Linked DNA regions of Coturnix japonica. The protein of the gene in region 5 interacts with the protein of the main gene of each other region in a pairwise test. Links are inferred from orthologs where the notes say so. Each region holds a gene or a part of one and is shown on either strand. Other genes may lie near its edges. The genes, in order: SMARCE1, ATF2, STX11, TRIM54, KIFC3, CREB5 and KANSL1.

What was found.
Region 1: the proteins of KIFC3 (region 5) and SMARCE1 interact in binary tests that used the Homo sapiens proteins (3 or more experiments, as listed by UniProt). The two-hybrid records come from large-scale screens. The link is inferred for Coturnix japonica from reciprocal best matches to the Homo sapiens genes KIFC3 and SMARCE1.
Region 2: the proteins of KIFC3 (region 5) and ATF2 interact in binary tests that used the Homo sapiens proteins (3 or more experiments, as listed by UniProt). The two-hybrid records come from large-scale screens. The link is inferred for Coturnix japonica from reciprocal best matches to the Homo sapiens genes KIFC3 and ATF2.
Region 3: the proteins of KIFC3 (region 5) and STX11 interact in binary tests that used the Homo sapiens proteins (3 or more experiments, as listed by UniProt). The link is inferred for Coturnix japonica from reciprocal best matches to the Homo sapiens genes KIFC3 and STX11.
Region 4: the proteins of KIFC3 (region 5) and TRIM54 interact in binary tests that used the Homo sapiens proteins (3 or more experiments, as listed by UniProt). The two-hybrid records come from large-scale screens. The link is inferred for Coturnix japonica from reciprocal best matches to the Homo sapiens genes KIFC3 and TRIM54.
Region 6: the proteins of KIFC3 (region 5) and CREB5 interact in binary tests that used the Homo sapiens proteins (3 or more experiments, as listed by UniProt). The two-hybrid records come from large-scale screens. The link is inferred for Coturnix japonica from reciprocal best matches to the Homo sapiens genes KIFC3 and CREB5.
Region 7: the proteins of KIFC3 (region 5) and KANSL1 interact in binary tests that used the Homo sapiens proteins (3 or more experiments, as listed by UniProt). The two-hybrid records come from large-scale screens. The link is inferred for Coturnix japonica from reciprocal best matches to the Homo sapiens genes KIFC3 and KANSL1.

Annotation. Positions count from the first base shown.
Region 1 is NC_029542.1:4,157,577-4,161,567, forward strand, and holds the start of SMARCE1 (SWI/SNF-related matrix-associated actin-dependent regulator of chromatin subfamily E member 1), read right to left. Parts: upstream 2,801-3,991; 5' UTR 2,683-2,800; intron 2,583-2,682; exon of another isoform or gene 2,564-2,582; intron 2,305-2,563; 5' UTR 2,261-2,304; coding exon 2,254-2,260; intron 1,713-2,253; coding exon 1,669-1,712; intron 1-1,668. UniProt on the Homo sapiens protein: Involved in transcriptional activation and repression of select genes by chromatin remodeling (alteration of DNA-nucleosome topology).
Region 2 is NC_029522.1:14,860,655-14,864,192, reverse strand, and holds part of ATF2 (cyclic AMP-dependent transcription factor ATF-2), read right to left. Parts: intron 3,305-3,538; coding exon 3,186-3,304; intron 2,064-3,185; coding exon 1,935-2,063; intron 1-1,934. UniProt on the Homo sapiens protein: Transcriptional activator which regulates the transcription of various genes, including those involved in anti-apoptosis, cell growth, and DNA damage response.
Region 3 is NC_029518.1:41,265,593-41,269,685, reverse strand, and holds the start of STX11 (syntaxin-11), read right to left. Parts: upstream 2,819-4,093; 5' UTR 2,455-2,818; intron 1-2,454. UniProt on the Homo sapiens protein: SNARE that acts to regulate protein transport between late endosomes and the trans-Golgi network.
Region 4 is NC_029518.1:95,417,669-95,421,956, forward strand, and holds the start of TRIM54 (tripartite motif-containing protein 54), read right to left. Parts: upstream 2,816-4,288; 5' UTR 2,749-2,815; coding exon 2,581-2,748; intron 2,441-2,580; coding exon 2,268-2,440; intron 1,875-2,267; coding exon 1,703-1,874; intron 1,609-1,702; coding exon 1,513-1,608; intron 1,269-1,512; coding exon 1,035-1,268; intron 949-1,034; coding exon 926-948; intron 772-925; coding exon 647-771; intron 564-646; coding exon 471-563; intron 332-470; coding exon 293-331; intron 1-292. Other genes in the region: DNAJC5G (dnaJ homolog subfamily C member 5G), read right to left, coding at 3,381-3,463, 3,702-3,846. UniProt on the Homo sapiens protein: May bind and stabilize microtubules during myotubes formation.
Region 5 is NC_029526.1:1,977,814-1,981,351, forward strand, and holds part of KIFC3 (kinesin-like protein KIFC3), read right to left. Parts: exon of another isoform or gene 3,180-3,538; intron 3,085-3,179; coding exon 2,964-3,084; intron 1,989-2,963; coding exon 1,792-1,988; intron 630-1,791; coding exon 564-629; intron 489-563; coding exon 348-488; intron 282-347; coding exon 42-281; intron 1-41. UniProt on the Homo sapiens protein: Minus-end microtubule-dependent motor protein. Involved in apically targeted transport. Required for zonula adherens maintenance.
Region 6 is NC_029517.1:30,422,853-30,426,984, reverse strand, and holds the start of CREB5 (cyclic AMP-responsive element-binding protein 5), read right to left. Parts: upstream 2,837-4,132; 5' UTR 2,717-2,836; intron 1-2,716. UniProt on the Homo sapiens protein: Binds to the cAMP response element and activates transcription.
Region 7 is NC_029542.1:2,360,669-2,364,206, reverse strand, and holds part of KANSL1 (KAT8 regulatory NSL complex subunit 1), read right to left. Parts: intron 2,263-3,538; coding exon 2,077-2,262; intron 1,792-2,076; coding exon 1,630-1,791; intron 1,327-1,629; coding exon 1,178-1,326; intron 1-1,177. UniProt on the Homo sapiens protein: Non-catalytic component of the NSL histone acetyltransferase complex, a multiprotein complex that mediates histone H4 acetylation at 'Lys-5'- and 'Lys-8' (H4K5ac and H4K8ac) at transcription start sites and promotes transcription initiation.

The DNA.
Region 1 (3,991 bases), on a different chromosome or scaffold from region 5:
CAAAGCAGCGCGCAGTATGGGGGCAAAAATTCCCCAAGTCAACATTTACTACAACAGCAAAAATCTCTGCCTCCTCCTCTTGCCATCCTTCTGCCTCCTAACGAACACGATGTTGCCAGCAAACAGGGTAAAAAAACAACGTGAGTGTCTCAAAGCACCATCCGTGCAACAGTAGCAGGAGCAGAGGACTTCACTGGTGGTCTGCAGAATCAAAACACTCTGGAGAACTGTAAGGATTAGAAAAACCAAGAGAGGACGATGCACGGAGCTGCCGCTCTGTTAGGAGGCCGCTGGCTGACGGAGCTGAAGAACCGCTGCAATGCAATGTGCAGGTTAGAAACCACAAACTAATCTTAGGAACAACCAAACACATCTTTGTCCGATCTTGCAGGCGGATCAATTTGTTCTCACCTCCTGGAACATGGAGAAAATCTAATTTCCATGCACACAGATGTGGGTAAGCAGGGATGTAATCAAACACCACAAGGTTCACTGTCTCCCCTTGGTTGTCAGTCTCACTCCTGCACTTCAGCTACTCTCTTTTCTTTGTCCAGAATTCAGATGGTGTTGGAAATAAAGCAGACCAGCCAGGTAAGGGTGATGGAGCGCTGCACCAGCACTCACTGCAGCACCACGCCAGGTTCATGCGTTACCTGCACTGTCTCACACTGGAGTCCCACTTTGTTAAAACCCATTTCAGCAGTCTTTGAAAGCAATGTGCTCACTGTACCCATTCTACATCACGGCTATAAAAGCATCAACATGAACCTGGTTTTGTGTGCACTGCTGACAAAGTCATAGCTTGGCTAAAGGATGCACCACCTCAGTATTCACCCACACTGTGCCACAGGAGAGATCCGCTGCCATCACATTCCTCCTAAGAGCACAAATCTATTGAGCTGTGTGAAATGACACATGCTAAAGAGCATCCTTACTCGTTCATTTGTTCCACTCATTAATATTTTCTCCCATGAGTGCATTGCTTCCAAAACAAGAGCTGCCTTTGCTTTCAGCTGCTTTTCCAACCACAGCACGAGTATTTCAAGATACTTTTATACATGCAGGAATACAACTGGACATCACTGCCACGTTTTCTTAACTGGCATTCCATACCACTTTACTGTAAGTTAAGAGATTTGCCATGCAGCAGACCCCAAAATATCAGCATTTTCATGAAATCTGAGTACGATTACCAGCACGGAGGGTCTCCATTTTCTGACCAAATATAACAGAAATCTGCATCCCATTGAAAATGTGTCAGAAGCACAAAAACGTGCCCTGTTTTTGCTCATCATTTGTGTAAAAGTTGAGCAGGGAGTCTGAGAATGAACCGTATCGACTTGGCCTTCAATATTCCAGCATCCCAATGGGCAGCATTGGCTGCATGAGTTCAATGGCCACACAGGTAAATAATCCCAGTGACTGCTGATTAAAAAAGGGCCACATCCTGCAGATGTTTAAGATGAAACCAGTTTGTTCAGCTTCTTTTTTGCAAACTGTTCTGAAATTGGGATGACTTTAAACAAGGAATATCATACTAACAATGAAATACAACAAGCGTGCTTTTCCAACACAGGAAGGTGCTGCGTCTCCACTGTTACGGCTCTGGTAAGTCACTAACAGCTCTGCTACAGGATCTGTGTTAATGAGAAAAAGCACTGTACTTACGGTTGCAGGAGCTGGGGTAGGAGGTGGAGCATAAGATGGCCTTTCTGTTAAAATATAAACGTAAGCAAAGAAAATCCTTGAAAATGTGAATGAGTTCTTTAAGAGGCATCCATTGTGGCAAATGCTTTAATGGGATTTACTAAAAGACAGACCCAGCTCAAAGACTTTGGAGCACACAGCAAAGGAGAGACTAAAAAAAAAATCAAACCAAAACCCCACATCATTGCTACATTTCTGGTCTTTTATTTAGGCAGATGAAGGAACCTGAGATACGTTTACAGGCACATCGGTTAAGAAGAGGGTAAGGAAACAAAACAAAACAGGGAAGCAGGACTCAGCAGAAGCTGGGACAGATTTGCTGTGAGACCAAACGCTTGGACTGGGCTGCAGCAGCTCCTGAGAGCTCCAGGTGGGCACCAGGAACTGCTCCGTGCAGCCCGAGCTGCAGTGAGAGCTGACGGCACAGCAACAGACACCACGGGAACCAGGAACGGCTGCTCTGTGCACAAGGCCCACAGGCAGCGCCCCAGAGCCCGCGGAACCGGATCCGAAATTCACCAAAGGAAGAAAAGCCCGAAAACTTACTTGACATTTTGACAGGCAAATTTTCAGCCACCTGACGTTACATTCGTGTTTCTGAAAGACAAAAGAACAACCGTCCCATTAATGCCACCCCGCTCAGCCCAGCGGCCATTTCACGGCGCTTCTCCCGCAGGAACTTCACGTTCCTCCGCCGTTCGGTTCCGTTCGGTTCCGTTCGGTGCCGCTCGGTTCCGTTCGGTTCCAGCTCGTGGCTCCACACGGACCCTCACACACCGGCCCGGCCCGTGTAACCGCGGAGGCCGCGCCGCCGGGAAGAGGCCGCGAGCGGAGCCGCCCCGCGGGCAGCGCCCACCTGAGCCCCTCGGCACCGCGATGAGCCGCCAACCCGAGACCGGAACCGAGCCCAGAACCGAGCCCAGAACCGATCCCGGCACCGAGCCCCCCCGCCCGTCCCGCCCCGCACACACGCACCGCTCCGCAGCGCCGCTCCTTTGTTCCTGCCCGGGCCGAGCCGGCTGCGAACACCGCGCCTGCGCGCCCCGCTCCGCACTTTCGCCACGGCCTCCGCCCCGCTCCCTCCCGCGGGTGTCCGAGTAGCGCGGGGTTGATCCGTCCGTCCGCCCCGCTCACCTCGGAGCCGCTGTCAGACCGAGGGCCGCCCCGCGCCGCGAGGGGTGAGAAGGAAGAGCGGAAGGCGTTGTGGCGAATCTGCGGGGAGCGCTGCCTCACGGGGCTGGGGCGGAGGCGGCGCGCGGCGTTGCCGCGCTCTGGGGCCGCGTGAGGCGCGAGATGGAGCGTCGAGTGGCGGGAAAGGAGAACATGGCGGGAAAGGGAGAAAGCGGCTGTGAGTGACCATGAACTGCAGGAATAGTCTGTAATACACAGAGAACTGCAGGAATAGTGTCTATAATATACATAGAACTGCAGGAATAGTGTCTGTAATGCACATAGAACTGCAGGAATCGTCTGTAATGCACATAGACAGGGCTTGTGTGACACCAGAGGGGATAGAAGGGAGAGGAAGCTGGCTGTGATACCACAGCGCGGCCTGCTCTGCTCTGAAGTAACGACACGGACATGGACAGATGGAGATTTCCATTCAATAACACAGGGAATATAATGATGGGAAGATCCGCCAGCAGCCAGACCTGCACCTTGGGGTCCGACAGCGGCACCTGGGCACAACGTCCTTAAGGAGGAGGTAAGAAAATACTTAGAGGTGAAAAGTAACCCTGGTTTGGCTTGGGTTTGACCACATTCATTACATTGTGTTGTACGTTGCATTCAGTTGTGCTTGGTGTCGATAGCATTAAACATGCACAAGTCGCTGCAGTGTTCAGTGCAGTTCCATACTGATCATTCTGGATCGTTATTTATTGTTTCCTTTGCTTTAGTTGGTTGGTTTTTCTATTTATTTCTCATTTCTGTTTGCCTGTGCTCCGTTTCCATGTTACTCTATGTGCTCTTACTGCTGTACAAGGTTTGTTTATAGCGGGTTGTTCAGGTCAGGAGCCCTGAACATGTTTAATGATCATAAACCAGCTTTTGTTTGTGCTCTCTGCCACCCAGTCCCCCTCAGGACGGACACACAAAGCTCAGGTTTTATTGTTTTTATTGTTGTACCGCTATTTACTTTGGTAAGTTTGTATCCCTGTTTAAAGTGCCTCAAAGCGATTAAAACTTAGTTTAAATTCAAGTATTGTAAAACATACAGAGTATAGCACACGAAAAAAGCTGCATAGTGAAAATGCCAGGAGAGGCCGTTACATTCAGGATGCCA
Region 2 (3,538 bases), on a different chromosome or scaffold from region 5:
TAAGAAATAGCTCTGACAACTACAAAGAAAATGAGAACCCTCTTACACGTACATTAACAGGCTGTGACCATTTAAGACTACTAAAACATATTCAGCCAAGGAGATGGTTACGGTGGCATATAGAATTTTAAAACCAGCTCTGCCCTGAAGAGTAGAAACAAACCTTCCCTCCTTCAACACACCTACAGAAGGAGTATAAAAAAATCTAACTGAGAAAACAGCAACACTCTGCTCACATTTCTCAACTTCTGCAGGCCACATTCAGCAGCAGCACACTCCAAGCAGCACCCTCATCCTTGCTCAGCTTGTCTCTACAATCAGACATCAAAACAACATTAAGCTGCAGCAGCTTTTCACTTCAGCACTGCTACAGTGACAACACTGAATTACGTAATGAATAAGTTTATAAGCACTGCCAGGCATTTAGATACAATTTGCACTTGTAATGATGCTAATGATACTGAACCACTACTGTAAAATAAGATATTAATATTTTCTCCTGCCAAAACTTGAGCACTTAGAATAATTATTTGCAGACAAAAACAAACCTTTCCAAACTACGAAATAAAGAAGATTTAAGATTTAGACTATGATATGCTTGATCAAAGAAGCTCTTTACGTGTATTCTTTTAAACCAGTTTTACTATTTTGGACTACACGATCACTTCAATAACATACTATTACTCGTCTTTGCTAATTTACAAAAATCAGAACAGCTTTCTGAAGACAATTCTCTACTGAAACTCCTCACACTTTCTGTCACATACAGCGTCTGCTGGGAGGATAAGAGAAGTGGTGCAAGAGGAAATGGTAAACTGGATACAAAGAAAAACATGGCCTTCACATGGACAGTCTGGTATTGGAACACATTAAGCAAAGAAACCGTTCATTCTCCCTTCTTGGAAGTTTCAAGGTTGGACTGCATAAAGCCCTGAGTTTCTTGGTCTTAGTCTCAGATCTAATCCCTGCTTTGAGCAGGAAGCTGGAATAGAAATGTCTTACGGTCCCTTTCAGTATGAATTACCTCGTAATCCCAAAGAAGTCTACTCATTTTTGCAAATATGATATCCATGTCCCTCAAATGCAGACTACCCACTAACGATGCACATAGAAAAACTGACCAGAGCAGCCATGTTGCTTACTAAGCTCTGCTCCTATTATTTTTATTTTCATTCCTACTTCATTAATTAATTCATTTCATTAACTTTGCTCAATTCTGTGCTCTCCAAGAGAATTTCTTACGATGAAAACACTGCAAGTTATGTATCAACCTTATTATTAAACTATTTCTTCCTACTACTGCCAGCAGAGCAGTAGTTCTGAAACAGATTAAGTTACAACATTCTCTTGAGACAGACAGTAACTCACAAACCCAGCCCTCAGGTAAACATTAAATGAGCAATTGCTCCAGATCACTGCTTTTAAACATACTGTTGTAGCTGAAAGAGCATGGATTTTTAAACAAAGTTTTCCTGCTTAATTTTGAAAGACCGTCCATCCAACCCCTGTACATTTTTATAGAACATCCCATGCTGCTGCACAAAAAAATTGGTGAGAAAACACAGGATAAACACAAAAATGTACACATGGATAGTCTCAAGCTACACTTCATTTGCTTTTTTGTGATTACTGCCTGATGATGCATAAAATAAGAATAAAGAGCCCAATTTTAACAATTTTTTTAACATAGCAGCAATACTAAGTTTGACTTCCTTCGTAGCTTTACTGAATAATTAAGGTGAGGCAAATAGAAAATTGTGCTGAGCAAAGCTAACTAAAGAATTGAACAAATTAAGTATGTATCCAGGAGTTGTGGTTAATGAAGTCATTTACTTTCAAACAGTTACATAACATGGGTATCAACGTGTACAAGAAACCCAAAGATCATCAGAAGATTCAGATAGTGAATTCCAAAATGAAAAAGGAATCCTGACCTTTTCATCATTGGTAGTAGATTCTGGATGAGGTAAAGGACTATCTTGATGAGTTGTCTCTACAACAGAAGGTTCTTCAATTTTGTTTCTTATAATTGGTGTTGCAAGAGGAGACAGATCTAGAGGCATCTAGATGTAACAGTGTAGACAAAAAAAAAACCAACACACACACAAAAATTAAAATATCTCAAGAAAATATAAGTAACTAAGGAGAAATATTAGCCTTATTATAATAATAACAGTGAAGTGCTGACATCCGGAAGGTCTTGATGCACATGTGTTAGCAGTCAAGCCTCCTTTTTCCAACATCTGTATAAATACAGCTTTTCACTAAGACTTTGTTTGAATTCCCACTGCAGGTAAAAATTTTTATGAAGTTCCTTCCCAAGATTCACAGGAAAGTTATAATTGAGGAAGGACAGCACTACACTTGAAGGCTATGCAATCCAATGTTATCAAAGACATCTGGCACAATTGCGTTTCTTCTTGTCAGCTTGGAAAAGGAACATCAATTTTAAAAGTAGTTGGAATGTTTTCAGTACTCTGTGATAACTGTAACTTCCTCCAAGAAAGTGGTGAATTTCACAGACAACCAAGTCAGAATCAAAAGCAGAATTTGTATTATCATGCAAATGATTTTAGGAAAAGTTACCATTCACCAGCTAAGATTAGGCACAGCTGTGAGCACAAAGCAAAGGTGAGTTTTCATCAAGAATGCACAGGAATGAGTCCTAATCACAAGTATCTACTAAAATCTTCACAGAGAATAACCAGACACTGACTCTGTAAAAACTTATACATATGTATAAAACAGTCCATTTAATTTTAAACATCACTGTCTGTGGAAGTTAAAGCATATAATCAGCCAATGGTAAAAATCATTCAAAGGGGACACAAAAATTTTCATTTGGAGAAGTGTTTACACTTTTGGGCCCCTAAACTAGTTAGGACTAGAAAGTTATAGAAGAAATAGGAGAAAGCACATTTAAACCTGTGGACAGTCCCTCATAAAAGAGCATTAAATGCTCAAAACAGACTGTGTAAATAGTGGGTGTGTTCCAGTGTCCATTCTACTCACACCAACTCAGGTAAACAAACCTTCTGAAAAGTAATCTTAACTTTGTATTCTCTCCATAGAAGACTATACATTGGTGGCTGGTCAATGACTACGGGTATAGTTTAAAAGACAACATATAGATTCAAGTTTACTTCTCAATTGAACGGCAGGACCAAAAGCACGTATGCACTTACTTTCTTAATGTCATCTTCAGAAGCCTTTTTAAACTCATTTTCAAAAGGACTTGCTAATTCATTGAATAAGCCCACTTCTTCACAGTTCTTCAAGAATCGAGTTGGTGTTGGTGTCTGATCTGAAATCAAGTTTACACAAAGCACATGATTTTACTTTTAAAATACCATGTGAGAACAGATGCATTGTAAATAATTTTCAGAGTCAAAGGAGACAGCACCAATATATCAAGATATTGATTTGTAATTACATGAATACATAGCTTTCTCTAAAAATAATACAGGTTACCTGAAGAACAGTAAAAACTATCTGAATGTATTCAGATAATTATTCAGGAGCCTCAGTGGGTTTTATG
Region 3 (4,093 bases), on a different chromosome or scaffold from region 5:
GGAGATGTGATGCCATCAGTGAGTGCTGCAGGTGGATCCTGCTCTGGTGAATCACCTCAACAAGCCTGACACAGGTCTGCCCAGCAGAACAACTGGGTACAGGCTGCACGTAACTACCATTGCTACTACCAGATGGTATTTAGGCACAATTAAGACATTATCCTAACATCTGCGTGGAAATATGAGGTTGCATGTGATTATAAGTCAGAAGCACAGTGTTCTACAAGCATTTGTAAATCAGCACAACTGCTTTTTTTTTTTCTTTTTTGAGTATACATACATTTAGAGCTCATGGTTATACAATCTGATATCAAGCATTCTTATAGGAAAAAAAAATTCCTTTGTGTTTTAACATGAGGGGTCTTATTGGTGTTTGTTCACGTGGACCAGTACAGGAGGCTGAGCTCTGGGTTCTCCTGCAAAACCTACACACCTCTAACAGAACCAAAGATGTTCAGCCAGGAAACAACCATCACACACACATGCAGGCAAAGTCCCAGCCCCAGGACATGCTGACCAGCAGTACAGCAGTCACCACACAGCACCTATGGGTGTTCTCAGGCCTCTTCAAAGTACCAGGGACACTGGTACAGATGTAATTGGGGGTACAGTGCCACCAGTACTCAGGAAATCTCTCCCTAGCTTTTGTTGATACAAGTTAATCAATAATAATCTTACACCATATCAGTTAAGACTTCCCTGTCTACTGCCCAGCAGATAGAGAAGAAGCTGCACACATGATCAGCCTCACAAAGTCAGGTCCCGTGAGACCATGATTAAGTACAGAAACAAGGCCTAAATGAGATGCACTGAGCGCTGTGTGCAGAAGGCTAGATGAGATAGCAGGATGGTGACACAATCAGCAGAAGCTATCAAAACAGCAGAGCAAAAAAGCAGAAGCTGAACCACACACTGCTGGCTCCCCAGAAGCCTCCCTGCCAGCAGTGTAGCATGGCCACAGAGCATGGGCATGGTCAGGGGCAGGCCTGGAGCTGTGCCCCCAGAATGGCTTCTCTGCAAGGCTGCATCAATGTGAAGAGCCGGCACCTGGGGCTGAGGTAAATTTATCAGGTTAAATTAATTTAAAGTTAAAAAGAAAACAAAAACTCACACATTACTTATATAAGCAGTAGCATGGGAAGCACCAGTTGTACCCTGCTTGGTATCAGTAAGGCCTTGGTTGGAATATTGCATCCAGCACCCATTACCAAGCTAGGAAAGCCAGAGGATACTCACCAGTCTCCAAAGGGTTTAGAAAGCAGGAGACTGAAGAAAGAGGAGAGGGACATAAGCTTGTTCTTCACACAAGATCAGGGAGAAATCACAGAATGGTTTGGGTTGGAAGGAACACTAAAGCCCATTCAAGTTCCAATCCCCAGCCATAGGTAGGGCTGCCACCTACCAGGCAGTGGGGCCTTCAGTACCTCAAAGGATGGGGTATAAAGACACCACACTCTAATGCACAGAAGGAGTTCATAAAAAGAAATGGTTATTTATTTCCAGTGTCATCTATCTGACTTATATGCGAGTTACACTGAACAAGCTGTGATGGGATAAAATAGGATCAGTTCTCCACAGGAACACCATGGAGCCCTCTTCCTCAGAGGTCACCAACAGGCTTCACCCTGTTTTCCTTCGGGCTGTTAAAACTTTTGCCTTTCCTTCTGACTAAAGTTGTGCTCCTCTAGTAGTCTCACCACTCCCATAGAAAAAAGCTTAAACAACAAGAACAGGAAGGCAGCGTCCTCCAAATTGCATTCTCGTCTTAACAAGCCACGCATTTCCATTTGGATCCCTAACAGCTTAAAACAAAACAAAAGGTTCCAAAAACACCACCTGAAGCAGAGAAACAAGAAGCAACAAGAAGCACCACTGAGTGCTGCAGGCCAGCGATACTCTCCCAGTCATTTCCTTCCCCAGTACTGCTATCTCAGACACACACATCACTAACGCTCCTCAGCAGGACAAGAGACTAATGTCAGTTTAATAGGAAGCCATCAAAGAGCACTAGCTCCTGCCTTGCTCACAGACCTGGCCACAGGGATGCCCAAGGAAAAGGGGAATAGCACAAGCTGTTACCTCTCGCTATGAAGCCAAGCACCTTCAGCCCGCACGGCAGCACCACGAGGCAGGAGCACGGGCGAAGCAGGCTGCAGCGCTGAGACAAGACCAGGAGGTACGTTTAGAGAACGCTCTCGTTTCAGCGATGTCCTCTACCCCTTACAGGCAACCACAACCACAGATGGAACCAAACACCTCCGGTCTCCAACCCGCTCTCTGCTGCCGAGCTCACACTTCACTCTCGACTCGCACGGGGCCGTTTCCTTTACTCCCAGGCAAAGCCAAACTGCAGAGCGCTCCTCACACCCCACGGGCCCGATGCTGAGCGAGACACCGACGGCAACACCGAGAACCCAGCGCGGAAAGCACCGTCCCACCCCGCGCAGCACTCACCTCCAGCCCAAACGTGCTTCCCTTCGAGCCGCACTCACTGTCGTTCAGTCCGCGCCGTCGAGGCCAGTACCGGTCCTATTGGAACACCCCGCCCCGTGTCTCGACTCACCGCCCATTGATTTGCATGGCAGCGCCCGCCCCGCCCATCGGGGGGCGGATTTGTACGGGAAGTGTGGGCGAACGCGGGGCGGCTCTGCTTGGCAGTCAGCACCGTGGGCACCGGCAGCCGCTTCTTGTTGTCTTCGGATGTGGGCGTGGAAATACCGGGCTGGACTGGCTACTACACAGCTCAAAGTCCCGCTTCCATTCAGCGTGTGAAAGGAGATGGGCTGCGCTTAGAGGGCTGCACTGAGCCCATTCTTGGGTGTTGACTTGATGATGATAGCAAATAATGGCTGGAAGATCATCTATGCTTTCCAAAGCCGTTCTCAGTTCCCTTGATGCCCCCAAACCTCTTTCACACTGCATCTGCGCACTCCTACCATGTATTTTGTCTGTTGCAAAGGCATGCAGGGCTTCCCATCTCTCTTGTTTCCTATGCTGCTGTTATTTCAGCAAAAACACCTCAGCAGCAGGTAAATACTTGAGGTTTTATGGTTAATAACCAGTTTAAATTGTGTCTGACAGAGTAGCTGTGTCTGCCTGAGGGAAAAGGCAAAACACCCCATAGTGCACTCCTTGCTTCTTTCTGTGCGGAGTCTTTGGCCTCTGGGGTGGTGTTAATTCATACAGGCGGAGCTGAAAATGAAGCTTCATGTTACTGTAACTGTGTGGGTAAAGAATGTTTAGAATCACAGAATCATTAAGGCTGGAAAAGACCCTTAAGATCATCAGCTCAGCTGTCAGCCCATCCATACCACTGATCATATCCGTCAGTGCCACATCCACACGGTACTTCAACACCTCCATGAACAGTGACTCCACCACCTTCCTGGGCAGCTGCCTCACTACTCTTTCTAAGAAGAAATTGTTCCTTACATCCAACCTGAACCTCCCATGGTGCAATTTAAGGCCATGACAGAACAGCAATGGCAAATGAACCAGGTATGCCATATGTAAAGATTGTCTGTGTCATGAGATGGGAAACTTTTAATGCTCATTTCTTAGGAATGTTATTATTATGAGCACTTGTTATGCTCATTTCTGTCAGTTTTGAAATAATGAAAGTGATTAGACAAAGTGATTTACCCATAAGTGAGACTGAGTGTTTTCAGCCCTGTCAACTTATTCAAGTCCTGAGAAGCATTATTTGCAAAGCTACAAAAGTAACAAAGTAGGGTGTTTTTTTTTCCCACTTTATACCATCTCTCATTAGATGAGAGACATTCTGTGAAAGTTGTGTGAAAGGAAATACTCTGTTCACATTGCTAAAGGCAGATCTTACTGCTGTAGTGATACCCATGAGTTAAGAGTTTCCAAGATTAGTGCAGGAAGGCTGAGGCTGATGCTAGGAAATCCTCTCATTATATGCCTTCACTGGGGAGTCTCCAGCTGCAACACTCCCACCTCGAGCAATGCCTTTCAGAGACCTTGCAGCCTCTGGCAAAAGCAGGGGCCTTCACAGAACAGCTTCTTCACTAAACGTCAGTGATGCAACAAGATCCTGCTCACTTGCATGAGGAATGGGCTGCTCACAAGA
Region 4 (4,288 bases), on a different chromosome or scaffold from region 5:
ATCTTCCCTCCATCCCTCTCCTCATCCTCACCCCATCCCCTGCCACCCCATCCCTATCCTATCCCCATCCTCACTTCCTCCCTCCCCACTCATCCTCACCCCATCTCCTGCTACCCCATCCCCATCCCATCCCTGTCATATCCCCATCCTCACTCCCCCCCTCCCCACCCATCCTCATCCCCATTCATCCTCACCCCATCCCCACCCATCCTCATCCCATCCCCTGCCACTCCATCTCTATCCCATCCCCATCCCATCCCTACACCCTGCTCATCCCCACAGAGCATCTCACCATGGGGAGAGCTCAATGGCTTCTGCCTTGGCCCCACATCTGTAGAGAAAAAGCATTGGACAGGTGGAGAGAGGGACACATGGTGAGACCATGCACCGTACATGGCCACGCCGCAGCCACGGCAGCACCGTGGTGACTGCGGCACAGCATAGCACGGCACAGCACAACACACTCTCACCTTCAGCAGCCTCAGGTGCCTCCAGGCTCTCCTCATCCCCTGCACCTTCACTGCTGTCTGTGGGTCCATCTCCATCATCCTCACCCAGCGCTTCTGTGGGGCAGAGGCACATCTCAGTGTGAGGACATCCCTGCTGCAGTCCCCTCCCCAAGGCAGCGCCCGCCCCATGCTGGCACCTGGCTGGAAGTCGATGGTGCGCAGCATCTCAGCCACATGGTCCACATTGATGGAGAAGTGGTCCATGCTCTCATAGCCGGGCTCAGGGCGGCTGCTCATCGACACCTTGGACATGTCTGTGATCCTGGGGGTACAGCAAGCAGCATCAGCCCTGCCCACCCACCCCCCCATGCCATCCTCATCTCATCCCCCTCCCCATCCCATCCCATCCCATCCCATCCCATCCCATCCCATCCCATCCCATCCCATCCCATCCCATCTCACCCTACCCCACTCACTTCTTCAGGAGCTCCTTGGAGTGCTGTGGGGGAAAGCAGAGTGCCGTCAGCATCCCAGGAGCAGCGCACCAAGCCGCAGGGCGCCCCGCACACAGCCCCCCCCAGGCACCTGCAGGTACACGGCCATCTGAGGTTCCTCCATGGCCTGGATGGCCGTCTCCACCAGCTTGGAGGAGGCCTCCAGGTGGTCCCCGTACTGTCGGATGAGGCCGCGCACGCGCTGCACCTTCCCCTCCTGCTCGCGGGCGATGCTCTGCAGCAGCTCCTTCTTGCGCTCCTCCAGGATGCTGCAGAGCGAGTCGAAGCGCAGCCCCACGTGCTGCTTCTGCCGCCGGCCGTTCTCCTGTAGGATCCCCCCCCGGGGGCTCAGGGGGCTGCCACGCTCCCAGCCCGGCCCCACAGGACACCCCTGTGTCACTGTGCCCTGGGGACACCCGCGTTCCATGGCTGCAGTGGGGATTTCCCTCCCAGGAGCATCCCACCATGTGGGCACAATACACCGGGTGGGGGTCCCGAACCACGCAGACCCCACACGCGGGGCCTGGGGGGGGGGTGTGGGGGGGAAGGCACACACAGGGCAGCCCCACCTCAGTGCTGCGGCAGGAATCTTCCAGCTGGGAAATGATGGTCTGGATGCGGTCGTTCCCCGCTACTAGCATGGAAATGCAGTTGTTCAGCTCGCTCTGGGGGGCGGAGCGGCGTCGGGGGTCGCACCGGGAAACCCCTCCCACCGCGCCCGCTCCATTGACCCCCCCCCCGGCTCTGGGGGTCACCCACCTTCTGGCCCTGGAAGATGCTCTGCAGAGGGGCGACTTCGCAGTCCTTGTGAGCACCGAAGACCTTGCACATGGAGCAGGTGGGGACCTCGCAGGTGACGCAGTAGATGTTGATCCTCTCATCCTCATGATCCTTGCACATCAGCTGCTGCTCCGCCTTGGCGTGCAGGGGGCTGCGACGGGAGGGAGAGGGCGCTGCGCCCCACGGCACGGCCCCACGGCACGGCCCCACGGCACGGCCCCACGGCACGGCCCCACGGCACGGCCCCACGGCACGGCCCCACGGCACGGCACACGGCACGGCCCCACGGCACGGCCCCACGGCACGGCACACCTCTGCCCCGTAGCATCCCCCGCCTCACTGCACCCCCAGCCCCACAAGTTTAGCCCCAATACCCCCCCACCCAGGCTCATTCCCCCTCGTGTCCCCTGCACAGCCCTCCATACCACACAAGCCACGGCATCCCCCGCCCCACCTCACCCCACGGTGCCCTTGAGCCCCTTTAGCCCCAATCACCCCCCCCCCATCCCCACGGGCTCCCTCCCACGCGTGTCCCGCCCCGCACCGCGCCGACTCCTGCTTGTAGATGTCGATGATGTTCTCCACCAGCAGGTTCCTCTGCAGCCCGTACACACCGTGCCGGTCCAGCAGGACCTCATGGCGACACGTAGGGCAGCGGAACCGGCCCCCGGACGGCCCCGCGCCGGAACCCCGGGACTGCCACAGCGGGTTGGAGGCCTGGGGGGGCAGGGGGGAAAGGAGAGAGCAGGGCAGGGGGGGAAGGAGGGGTTAGCGAACCGCTCCGAGACAGAGATCCCCCCTCCTCCCGTGTACGGAGCCCCCAACCCCGGGCACAGCCCGGTCCCTGCGCCCCGCACCTGGAAGATGTCGTTGGCACACTTGCGGCAGAGGTTATGCTGGCAGGGCAGGATGACCACAGGCTTGCTGAACATCTCCAGGCAGATGGGGCACAGTAGCTGCTTCTCCAGGCTCTCCATGCTTCGCGCTTCCGCCAGCAGCGGCTTCAGCCCCACGGCGAAGTTCATCGCCGCGGTCCCGGTACCTCTCCGGTACCGCTCCGGCCCCTCACTGCCCCGCTCCGGCCCCGCAGCGCTAATTTTAGCCGCCCCCGCCCCGTCGGGGCCGCGCAGCTGTCGGCGGCGTCGGGTGACACTGAGTCACGGCGGGCGGCCGTCCCACCGCCGGGGTCACTCCGTCCCGACGCCCCCCGGGAGCGGCACGGCGCTGCCCCCCCCCAGCCCGGCTCCACAGCCGCCGCTCCGAGACGAGAGAGCGACACCGCCGAGCTCCCCCCCATCATCCTTTAATGGTGCCCATATAACATATACAAACCCACGGAAAGTGCCTGAAGGGTCCCAGCCCCATAACGAGCGCGGTGCGGCCCCACGGCGAGGCAGAGTGGGGCGCGACGGGAGGCCCCTCTCCGACCCCTCCTCCTCCCCCCCCATACCAGCCCCAGAGCAGCGTTTGGCACCCAGCTCCCGTCAGGGGGGTCCGGCCCCGGGGTTACAGTGCTACCGGTCTCAGTCACAGCGCTGTAGGACGGTTTCACCTGAGATTGTACACCCCCCTCCCCACCCCACGATGGGGTCTTGGGAAGCGGCGGTGGTCCCGGAGGAGGCTTTACCCCCCACCCCCCTCCGGCACATAGGTGGCCCTATGCCTCGCTCCTGGCTCCGGCAGCAGGCAGGGGCTGGGCGTTGCTTGCGGGGGGCTGCGCTTCCACCGGGACCTGTGGGTCTGGAAAGAAAATGTGTGGGTCAGTGGAACCAGGAGGGAGTCCTGGGGTCCTGGCAGCGATCCGGGGCTGCCCCTGGCACCAGCACGGCCCTCATGTCTCTGTTCCTCTGTTAAGGAAACCGAGAGAGCCCCCAACCCACGTGTCCCACCAGCCCCCGAGCCCGGTGCAGCCCCCCCTGCAGGTCTCTGTGAGCCGGGAGCATCGTGGGGGGGGTCACCATTTTGGACCCCAACTCACCGCCACCATCGTCCGCCTCCAGGTCCTTGGGGTCGACGTACTTATAGGACTCGTCCTCGCGGGGTGGGCAGCACTTCCCGCAGCAGAAGAAGCAGCAGCAAAAACAGCAGCAGCAGGTCAGCAAACCACAGCACAGCGCCAGGGCCTGCGGGATGGGATGTCACAGCCTGAGGCTTCCCAGAGACCCCCGAGGCTTCCCCGAGACCCCCAATATGCCCTAAGAGCTTGGGATTGCCATGAGACCCATGGGGCTGCTCTGAGACCACAGGGCCCAGCTGCCATGGAGATCCCCTGGGCCACTATCAGACCCCAGGGCCACCTGAGACCCCAGACCCAGACATTGTGAGACCCCAGGGCTGCCTTGAGACCTTTGGGGCCACATAGAGACCTCAGTGTCCTGCTGCCATGAGAATCCCAGGGCCACTGTAGGATGCCTGGAGCCACCCTAAGACCTTGGGGTCCTCCTGAGACCCCAGACCCAAGCACTGGGAGACACCAGGCTGCCCTGAGTCCCCTGTGGCCTCACTGAGACCCCTGGGGCTGCCCTGAGGCCCCAGTGTCCAGCTGCCCTGAGAATCCAGGGCCAC
Region 5 (3,538 bases):
CGCGGCACAGCCAGCAGGAGGCACAGCCCCGCGGTGCTCACCTTTATCTGCTGGGGCTGAGCCCTGAGGCTGGCGATGGTCTCCTGGCTGTCCCGCAGCCGCCGGCTGAGCCGCTCCTCCTCCTGCGCTCTCTCGGCCAGCGAATCCTTCAGCCTCAGCTCCACCTCGGCCAGACGGTTCGTCTTCTGCTGCACCTCCAGCTCCAGCTCGGCCAGCTTGGCTCGGGCTTCCTCCGCCTCCCTCTGCAGCTGGCACAGCCGCTCCTGCAGCCCGGCGTTCTCCTGGCCCCAAAGCAGGCTCAGCCTTGGCCGTGGCACCCGCAGCCCCACGGCTCACCCGCAGCTCACCTGGAGGTGCGTGCAGTCCCGACACGCCGCCTGCTGCCGCCGCAGCTCCCTTAACTCCCCTTCCCGTGCCTTCATCTCCTGCCGCAGCCTCTCATTCTCAGCCACCAGCAGGTCCCGGTGCTTCTCCGCATCCGTTCCCCCCTGCGGAACGTCAGCGTGTGATGGGAGCCCCCCCCAGTCCCACTTTATCCCCCCCCCCGCAGCCGGTGAGCTCACCATCTCCGAGCGCAGCCTGCCGATCTCCTGCGCCTGCTCACGGAGGTTCGCCTTCAAGTTTTCAACCTGCACACATGGGGAAGCACAAAGCTGTGCTGTGCCCCCCCCCAGCCCCCACCGCTCTGCTACCCGGGAAGGGATTCCCTTCCTAACACCCCGCCAGGCGAGGAGGCACCGCACCAACCCCCGTCCCAGTGAGGCTGCCGCCCCATGCAAACGACAACAGCCTCTTCTGAACCTCCGCAGATCGTCATTTAGGAGCTGCTGATTTATAACAAATGCGAACGCGCTCAACATTGTGCTGTAATTAATTATGATAAGTTATAAAGCCACTCCCTTGTGGAGTCGGCGGCGCGGCGAGCTGCCCGAGCGCATCTCCTGCGTGTGCCGGGGCAGAGGCTGAGCAGCTCAATTCAACCCTTCCTCCGCTGCCCCCCACCCCTTTCTCAGCACAGCCCATGCAGGAGGAGGGGGACGTGGAGCCATGGCTAAGCTGCCACTCTCCTGCTTAACGAACGGTGCACCGCAGGGCTGCACTCCCCACACACAGCCCCAACCACTCCCTGCACCTTCCAGAACCTCAAGGATAAACCTCACAGGAAAGCACACCGCCCCACACACAGCTGGAAGGCCCCAGCCATGCACCAAGCACGGAGAAGAGTTGCTCCCTCTGCTCCCCAGTGCTACAGCAGCCCCGTGCCCTACCTCCTCAGGCAGCTCCGGCAGCCGCCTGCTCTCCAGGCTGCTCAGGGACCCCTTGGCTGTGTGCTGGGGGCTGAGGCACGGCCCGGCCATTGCTGAGCTCACGGAGCCCAGGTTCACCCCGTGCTGCACAGCCCCGGCACGCCAGCTGCCTGTCCTGCTTGTGTCATGCAGACTATGCCAACCAGATCCAGGACAATTACATCCACCTTTTTGACACCAGCGGAACAAGCCAAACCTGACTGTAATAGCTTCCACAACATCCACATGCAAATCCCTTTATTAGCAGCCTGGGTTTCAATCTCCCTGTAATGAGGGACGTCCTCACATCCACAGCTGTGTCTGCACCGGCAGGAGGAGCATTAGGGGGTCAGCACTGAGGCCAGTCCCCGTCCACAGCAGCACATCAAGCACCAACACAGACACGCACTGCTCCTCATTCAAGACAGCTGGAGCACCCTGAGCCTTCATGCTACAGATCACAACCCACAGCTGGAAGCCCGGAGTGCACCCAAAGCCCCCCTACCTGCCCTCGCAGCTGGACGGAGATGGCCATCTCCTCGCTCTCTCGGGCGGCCAGTTTCTCCTGCAGAGCCAGCAGCTCCTCCTGCAGCCGCAGCTTCTCCTCCTGCAGGTGCGCCATGGATGCCACCACCTTCTGGATGACGGGGAAGGGCCGCTGGGCCGGCAGACTGGCACGTTTCCCACTGCAGAACCGACCCCCTGCGGCAGGAGCGAGCACAGCGGGGTCAGGGTCAGCCAGCCCCAGGGGGACACGGGCACCCTGCAGGGAAAGGGACCCGACGGAGGCAGCAACAGGAGCACAGCAGAGCTGGGGGTCCCAGTGGTACCAATGCGTAACAGAGGGATGCTGGCATCCCACAGCACAGCCTGAGCTGCCCCGTGTGGACGTGCAGCCACCCAGCCCCACTGCTGCCTCTGATTCACCCCCTCAGCCTTTTTTTCCCCTGAATGAGCAGGTGCCAGTGGAAAAACAGCATGGGATGGTGTTATTAAAGGCTGCGTCACCGAACACGGCAGTGGAATGGAAGCCAAATTCAAATGACACGGGCGACCCAAATGGTGGCCCTGCTTGTTGAGTGCGACTTTCTGACCTTCGCAGCACGAGTTTAAACACAGCTTTCTGCAAACGAAGCCTTAAATTGCTCGGTGGTTCCAGCAGGGGACGAGCTGGACTGACTCACCGCCATGCAGTGCCGGTGGAACCAGCAGCATGGATCTGGGCTGCTCCCTGCCTTGCCTGGAAAGCAAAGGTTGGGAGGCAGAAGGCGATGCTGGGAGCTGCTGGCTGCTTGCAGGCGGGCTGACGCCGTGTGTCAGTTGTGTTTCACACACGTGCTGTAAGGTGTCAGCCATCCCAAGGCACTGACAGCTGTGGGGACTTGTGCTTTCTTCGAGCCAAGAGGCAGCGAAGAGGGACAGCCAGGAATCCGTGCTCCTCCAGAAGGGACTGCAGGAGGGTTTTTGTTCTCCTGCCCCGGGCTGCGTGCACAGCTTTGCTCAAGCACCCGCTTCCTCCTCGTAGCAAAGAGATGCTCCAGCCAAGGGACAGCAAACCCAAACCTGAAGGCAGCAGCCCCCCCCACCCGGTGAGCGCTGCCTCCTCCCAGCTGGGCTAGAAGACACTGCCTGCATGGCCCCATCCCTCAGCCCCGGCTGCGTCCGTGCTCCCCTCACCGGCTTTCTCCAGGCTCATGGTGCAGGCTGCCTGCCCCGGCACGGCGGGCTCACATGGGGCTGCCGGTGGTTCCTCCGTGTTGTACGGCAGGGCCGGCTGCCGGCCGTCCTCCAGCGAGACCTGCAGGGTGAAACGTGCCGCTGGGTGTGCGTGCTCCTCCATCCCCGGGACACCCACATCGCACAGGCGCTGCAAGGACGGTCCCACATCCCCACCCTCTATTGTCAAAAGGAATTCAGCCGGCTGCCTTCGGGTCTGCCCGTTACACGTCGGTGTCGTTGCGCCGGGTGGGCTTCGGCAAAGCCCTGGTGTCTCAAGGTTGAATGCAAAGGGCCGGGGCTTTTCCAGCCGCTACACCAAAGGAAAACCCAGAAGGAGGGAGGAGAGGAATACGGCAAAGGTCACAAAAGTCCGGGCTGTTGTGTAATTCCGCATTCGCCGGCTTGCAGGGAAAAGAAATATCTATCTATTTTTAATGCCACCAGTAAAGAAAAGTGCTGGCGAGGTGATTCTGCGAGGGAACGGCACGGAGCAGCTGCGTGCCCCGGTCAGAAGTTCCCTTCCTTCCCTCTGC
Region 6 (4,132 bases), on a different chromosome or scaffold from region 5:
ACTACTTTCACGAGAGGGAGAGGGTTCTGAGCATCCAAAATGCAGAAAGCTTTAAAAATACCACAATTTGAACTTCTGGAAGAGTGCCACCCAATATCCGAGAGTGGCAAAGGGAGCTTATTGCCTTTTATATGTGCTCTCATGAAACGCTCTGATTTCAAGCATCGGTCTGCGAGTCTCCAATCAAAACTGTAGCAACTGGAGACTGAAGCAGTTTCTTTCTTTCTTTCTTTTTTTTTTTTAAGCCATAAACTCATTATTTCTATTTCCTGCTTCAGTCAAGTGTTTCATTTAAAGTTTTGAAACTTTTATGATCTCAGCAGATGCAAGCAAACACAAATCCCATTTAAGCAAATGGGACAAGCAGAAATGTCCCGAAACCTGTGGGCAGCAGCAGGCACTGGTTCTACATGAGCCACGCACAGTACAGATGAAGGAGAAATCCTTGGTTAGTTATCATAGAAAGACGCTCCTTACCATTATCTGCAGAGCACAGTCAGGTCCAAGCCGTTTTGTTCAGCCACCGCCAGCTGCTCTTTCTATTTAGTGACTTTAAAAATAAAACAAAAACAAAACCACCCCCCTTCACAGTGATAGCTGGGGGGAAACTACCAAGAGCTCTCAAGCTTCAGCAAGGAAGGCCATCAGAACGGGGCTTCGTTAAAGCAGGGGAAAACAGCACGGTGAGGAGTCAGGTCCCAGGCTGCAGGGTTTGCCCCTCTCCCTCGCTCCCCGTGGCTGAGAGTAAATGAGCCTAATTTTTCCAATAGCCTTTAACTCCCCAGATTAACCGACGTGGAAAAAGTGACTACAAACTTGTAGCGCTGTCTAGCCTCCAACCCAGCACGGAACCAACTTTGTGGTGAGTGCTGAAGGACACCTCGCAAGCTGCTACTTGCTGGGATCAGAACCCAGAGCAGCGCTGCGCCCTCTAGTTCGCTCCGCCCGCGGGAGGGATGGATGGATGGATGGATGGACGGGTGGATGGATGGACGGATGGATGGGTGGATGGATGGACGGATGGATGGGTGGATGGATGGATGCCGCGGGATGCGGGGCTGCGGCTTTCAAAGATGCCATTGGTTAGCACGGTGTGTTTTCTTTTTCTTTCTTTTCTTTTTTTTTTTTTTTTTTTTTTTTCCTTTAATAAGGTATCACTACTGAGATAATCCACATCCAGTGGATATGGGAAAATTTAGGCTATAATAGCGCGGCGAACTTCTGCATCCATCTTTCATTTACAAGATAAAAGCAACTTTTAAATTAAAGCGCCCCTCTGCTAATAGAGCTTATTATGCCAGAGACGGGACTGATTTTCCTAGAAAGTTGTCCCTGTGTGCATGCCTATTATCTCTGCTTTCCCCCTTCCACTAATGAGCATTTATCTAAAGAGCCCGTTAATCCTCTGATGCGTGCTTCTGGTCAGAGGTAACAGTTTGAATAAAACCACTAATCACTTATCGCTAATCACCGATCATTAATCGCACTTCTCCCCTGTGCTTTGCGACCCGCGCAGCTCCCCTCGGGATTAAGGAGTCACAAATAAGGATCTCAGCCATTTCTCTTAAAGAACTTCCAGCTTTTGAAAACGGCAACCGCATTCACCGCATGAAAGTTACAAAATACCAAAGCGACGACTTTCAACGACACTCTTCTGCTGAAAGCCGACCATCTTTCACCAACAACCCCCCCTCATCTCCCCCCCCGCCCCGTCCCCGTGATTTAGGCGGTGCGCTTGCATCCAGCCTTCACCCTCCGACTCCCAATTCTCTTTCTGCGCGGTTTCTGGCTTATTTCTGCGTGACACTTTCTTACAATAAACTTTTTCTCCGCCGCTGTTCCCTGACGCACTGAGCTCTGTTCGGACGGGGAAGGGCCGGGGAACGGCGCCGGGCTGGGGGGCTCTGGGAGCCTCGCAGTGAAGCCCGGAGATGCCGGTCCGCACTCAGCAGCCCGCTCTTCCCTCTCGAACTTCCCCTAGTTAAGCACCGATAAAATAGCGAAATCTCATCGAGCTGCTTAGCGCGCTCCAAACATCTCTCTGGACTTTAACATAGGGACGTTCCTTTATCCTTACCCCCGCCTCTGCACGACGTCTCTCAAAGAGAGAGAGCCCCGGAGATGAAGGATCACTCACCGTACCGGGACATAAATAATAGAGCAGGCAGAGTTTAGCAAGTATTCCCCTTACACTCCCGAAGCTCTGAGCGTCCTGCAGACTTCGCTGGGAAGAGAGGGCAGCTGCGGGAGGCTGCAGCGGGGGGACAGCGCATCCCAAGCGGAGCAGCAGCGCGGCACCGACCCTCCGGCAGCAGCGGTGCAGCGGGCTCTGAGCCCACCGGAGGGGCTGCGAGTCCCGGCAGCCCGACTCTCCCGCAACTTTGCGAAGCGACGGGGAAGCTGTCACAACCGGGGAGCGCGGCGTTGCCCGCGCCCCTTCCCCATCCCATCGCACGGCATCCCATCCCGCAGCATCCCGCTCCGTGCCGTGCCCTCCCCGAGCTCTGCCCCGTCCGGACCCGCTCACGCTCCTCTCCCCGCACCGTCCCAGCGGATCAGCGGAGGCGGCGGCGGACACCGACCCGTGCGGCACCCGGCGGCGGGGAGACGCGTCCCCAAGCTCGGGGCTGCCCCTTGTCCAGCTCCGCAGCGTTCGCTCCGTGCCGCTCCGCTCCGAGCTCTTTCCCGGGGCAGCCCTGCGTTTTTAGCAACTTACCGCCCGGCGCAGCGCGGCGCGGCGGGGACGGGACCGGCAGCGCGGCCGGAGGAACCACGTTGGACTGAGGGAAGGTTACAATACGTTCTATTTAGAGAAGCATTACATCACCCTCCGTGACGTCACGTGGGATTCCTGAACTTCTAAATCATTGCAGTCCGTGCCGGGAGGGAGGGAGGGAGGGGGGGGGTTTGCCGGGAGCGTGGGGCGGGGGCGGGGGTGCGGCCTCGGATGGTCCCACCTCCGTCGGCACAGCACGGCACAGCACAGCACAGAGCAGCACAGAGCAGCACGGGGCGGGACGGGGTGAGTCACAGCTCCCGGAGGCCCCGCCCCGCACCGGGACAGCGGAGGGGTCCGCCACCCCGCGGCCGGGATGGGGCGGCCCCGAGGTGCTCCGTGCTCCGGAGAATGGGGGACACAGAGAGCGGGACTCAGGTGCCGTGCCCGGGGTGATAGTGCTATGGGATGTAAGGATGGAGAGCAGCCCTGCTGAAAAGAACCTGGGAGTGCTGGTGGATACGAGCCAGCAATGAGCCCTCGCAGTTCAGAAAGCCAACCGTATCCTGAGCTGCATCGAAAGCAGCGCGGCCAGTAAGGTGAGGGAGGTGATCCTGCCCCTCTGCTCTAGTGCTGGTGAGACCTCACCTGGAGTACTGTGTCCAGATGAGGAGGAGACTGCACTCCTCCTCAGTGCAGGAGAGACGCAGAGCTGTTGGAGCACATCCAGAGAAGGGCCACAAAAATGTGCCAAGGGATGGAACACCTCCCCTACAAGGACAGGCTGAGAGAGCTGGAACTGTTCAGCCTAGAGAAGAGAAGGCTCTCGGGAGACCTGAGCGCAGTCTTTCAGTATCTAAAGGGGGGGCTGTAAGAAAGGACAGACACTTTAGCAGAGAGTGCTGTGACAGGAAAAGGGGGAAATTATTTCAAACTGAAAGTAGGGAGATTTAGATTGGATATAAGGAAAAGGTGTTTCACAGTGACAGTGGTGAGGTACTGGAACAAATTGCCCAGAGGCATGGTGGAAGCCTCATCCTTGGAGACATTCAGTGCCAGGCTGGACCAAGCACTGAACATTTAGCTGTAGGTGTCCCTGTTTACTGCAGAGGAGTTGGACTAAGTGGCCTTTAAGGGTCGCTTCCAACACAAATGCTTCTACAATTCTATAATTCTAAGTATAAGCCACAGTTTTATATTACCAATCTACTGAGATTGCTTTCTTATGAATCATATTGCAGCCTCTCAGTGACATGTACACAGATTACAAGAGTAAGTAACGCTTTGAGTGTACACTGGGTCAGAGTTCCTGACTTGACTCTGCTCTGTGTTCATGACAGGTGGTTTTGCTGAATTGTGCTGACTGCAAAGTAGAGAGATGCTGTGTTCCTGAGATGACTCTCTGGTCCCAAAGGA
Region 7 (3,538 bases), on a different chromosome or scaffold from region 5:
GTGCAGGAAGCTGCAGCTCCTGTCATGCACACACACCTCCCAGCTCAAAGCAGCTCCCCGAAGGAACAAGTGCAATGCTGCTGATTCTGCAGCAAAGTTGTGCACGTTGGGAGGTGCTGCACAACCACCAAAACCAGACCCAAACCTTGTCCTGCCCTGCACAACGCCCACACCTCAGGGCTGCTGGAGCAGCACAGGCGGCTTCTGGGGCTGGTTGAAGCCGGGTGCTGGAAACCAGCACCATGTTGTAACCCTGTTAATTGTGAATGGGCTCAGGGAAGGGTGGCAAAAGGAGCAGGAAGGAAGATCAAGTGCAGGGAAGCACGAACAGATTTCATCTTGACATGCTATGGCTGCTGAGGAGCGTCCTGGTCTCCAAAACACTCGGCTCATTCCAGGGAAGCTGCTGCTGCTGGTTGGAGTCTCAGCCTCCCCTGAGCATTACAACCCACCTCACTGACAACAGCTGATGACGCAACAGCAAACTGTTCTGGGAAAGAACCCGGCTGGAGGTGGCAGCCCCAGAGCTCAGAGCAAGGACAGAGGCACACAGTGAGCTCTGAGCCCCCAAAGCCTGGATCCCCAGCAGGGGCTGCACCACACAGAGACCAGGAGCTTTCCTAGGACACCTCAGAGCTGAACAGAGCGGGAGGGAGCTGGGTCCTGCTTGCTGATGGCTTCCAGAAACAGCTCCACAAAGGTTCCAAATGCTGTCATCTGTTCTGGGAGGCTGAGCATGTCTGGGCACACACTATGAGCCAACCCCAGTTATAACGACAGCTAAGTCCCATCCTCAGCCCAATTTACAGCCCAACACACAGAGAAAAGGCCAGAAAGGGGAAGAACCCAGAGCAGGAGCTGTTGTTGTGTCAGCAGCTTTGTGCTGCTGGTGCTCAGCTCTTCCACTCCGTTTCCTGGCATCCCCTGACATCTTCAGTAACCAGAATCCGGACATGGAGCAAAGCCAGTGGGCTACTGGGAACGGGAACATTCACCAGCACTTACTGAACTGACAGTGAACCTGTCACTGCAGCCGGCTCCGTGCACAGCCAGGAGCACAGCAGACCCAAAGCCAAAGCAGGAGGAGAGCCAACACAATCCCATCACCAGCGAGGTAAAGATGCTGGGAAGCTGAGAGCCGAGCTCAGCAGCTCCCCACACAGACAGCAATACTTACGGTGCCGGAGGTGCCCTGGGAGCTCGTGCTGGTGGGAGCAGAGCCCTCCGAGGAGGTGGACAGCTGCCGTGCTATGGGGCTGTGAGGTGCATGGGTCGCAGCCGCTGCCAAGTAGCTCGGGCCACCGACGTCCGCGTGATGCTTCAGCACTGCATGGGGAGGGAGGAGAAAACAAAGAGCCACGTTAGCACCAAATAAAATAAGGCTGGGGGGGTAGGAAGGAGAAAAGGACCATCTGTGCCAGAAATGGCCAATGCTGAGGTGAGCCCTGCAGGAAAGAGAAGCGATTTGTGACTGCAAACAGCTCGTCAGGGGCTGCAGGGAGCAGCAGTCGGGGCGCACGGTGCGGTGAGGAGGCCCAGAAGCAGTGCGATCCCTCTGCTCCAAGGGGAGACAGGCTGATGAGCAGCAAAGCCCAAGCTCCCCCCGAGCGCCCTGGCCTGGCAGCCTACCTTCACTCCTCTCAGATGAGCAGTCGCGTAATCGCTTTTTGTCATGGGCGGGAGGCTGGACAAGCGAGCGCTCAGGCGCTCTCTCGGCCTTGGACACGGCCATAAAATCGTCTAAGGGCGGCCTGTGCGCCTTGTCTGCCTGGGCTTTGTGCTGTGAGCGCTCTGAGGAGGGGAACAGAGAAAGAGCCATGAAACTCCTGTTTTCACCTCTCTTTCTGCGGGCATGGGATGCATCACTGCTGCGATGCTGCGGCTCAATGGCGTCATGCAGCGGGCAGAGCTCTGCATGGGCACGGCCTGGTGTTGGGCAAGGAGGGTCCCTACAGCCAGGAGCAGCTGCACACACGGCCCCTTCAGCCCCAAAGGCTCCGTTTGAATGCTATCCATCCTCCTCTCTCCTCCCGGACCGCACTGCTTTGGGGTTACCAACAGCAGGGGGGCACTTACTGGCTGCGGTGAAGAAGGAGTTCACCAGCTTGTGGCGGTCCTTGCGAGCGGGGTCGGTCAGGCTGCTGGTGGGCATGGGGGCTCTGTGCTTGAACGAGAGCTTTTTGGGAGCTTTCATTTTCTCGTAGGGTTTGTTCTGCCACTGGGATTTCAACATGCTCTGGAAGTGCAGGCTGGTCGGCACGTCTGCGGAGGGAAAGCAAATGCAGAGTTCACATTAAGTGTGTACCAGGAAGCAGCGGGTCCAGCATCACCTCCCAGTCCCCAGCAAGAACTGCCCCAACACACAGAGGGTCATCACTGCACAGCCACATTTGCCTGTGTATTCAAGGAGGAGCTGCTACGTGAGGATCCAGCATTCCCAACCTGAAGCTCTTTGAGAGCAGCACAGTAATACAGGATTCACACCCAGGTATATCCTGGCAGGAGAATAAAAGGCACGTGGCTCCATTCTGCTATCTGTGATCTGACTTCCAGGGCTCTGGGATATCTCAGCTCATCAAACCTACAGGAATACAGACTGGAAGAGAGAAGTTCAGCTTAACTCCTCCACTTCGGGTCAGGCCAGAAGCCAAACAGGTACGGTGTGAAGTTCATCTGCATGGCAGGGCATCTGCCATGGAACCAAGGGTGCTCCAAATGAGCACACTGCAGGGCCCATGGAAGCAGCAGCCCCCCAGGGTGCTCACAGCTGCACCCAGAGCACTCAGCCCGGCCTGTGCTGCCTTTTCAGACCACGCCGTGCACTGCAGTGGGGCACACGCTCCTCTTGTCCACACTCCTCAAGCTCCATTGCATCCCAGTCCCACACAGACGTGCTCTCCTGACCTCAGCTGAAGGCTGGAACACTAATGGGGTTATTCGGTGCCTTCCTTGTGCAGACAGGCCACGCTATGGGGTCGGCTCTAAAAACCATCAGCTGGACCAACAAACTCCCCCAGCAGCACCGTTCCTCCCCCAGATCTCACACCATGTTTTTGCAGGGACTCCAAAGCGACCCTGAGCTTAGAGGAACCTTCCCAGAGCCCACACGAGGAGCTGAGGTGCCCAGCAGCCCTGCAGAGGGGCCAGCACTGCAACTCGGAGCTGCTGCAGCATCTGGGAACTGCAGATGACCTCAGAGGGCAGCAGGAAGGGATGGCAGCCCTGCTGGCAGCCTTGGCAGCTGAGATGGGAATCCATCCCCAGTCATTCCAGAGGCTGGAAAGCCCCAGGACGGGCAAACAGGGCTGCAGGCTGCAGTCACTGTCAGGGGAACTTGATGCTGAGCAAGAAGCCAGAGCAGCCGTGTTTAGAAGACCCTGGTGCTAAAGCTCTCACTGAGCCCCATCCATGTGGGCAGCAAAGTGTGAGAGCAGTTGTTCAACCACTGACAGCCTGCACAGACTGATCCCAAAGGGGAGGGAGGGCTCAGAGAGGGCCCTGAGGGGAAAACAGCCTCCGCTCTTTGCTCATCTCCTGC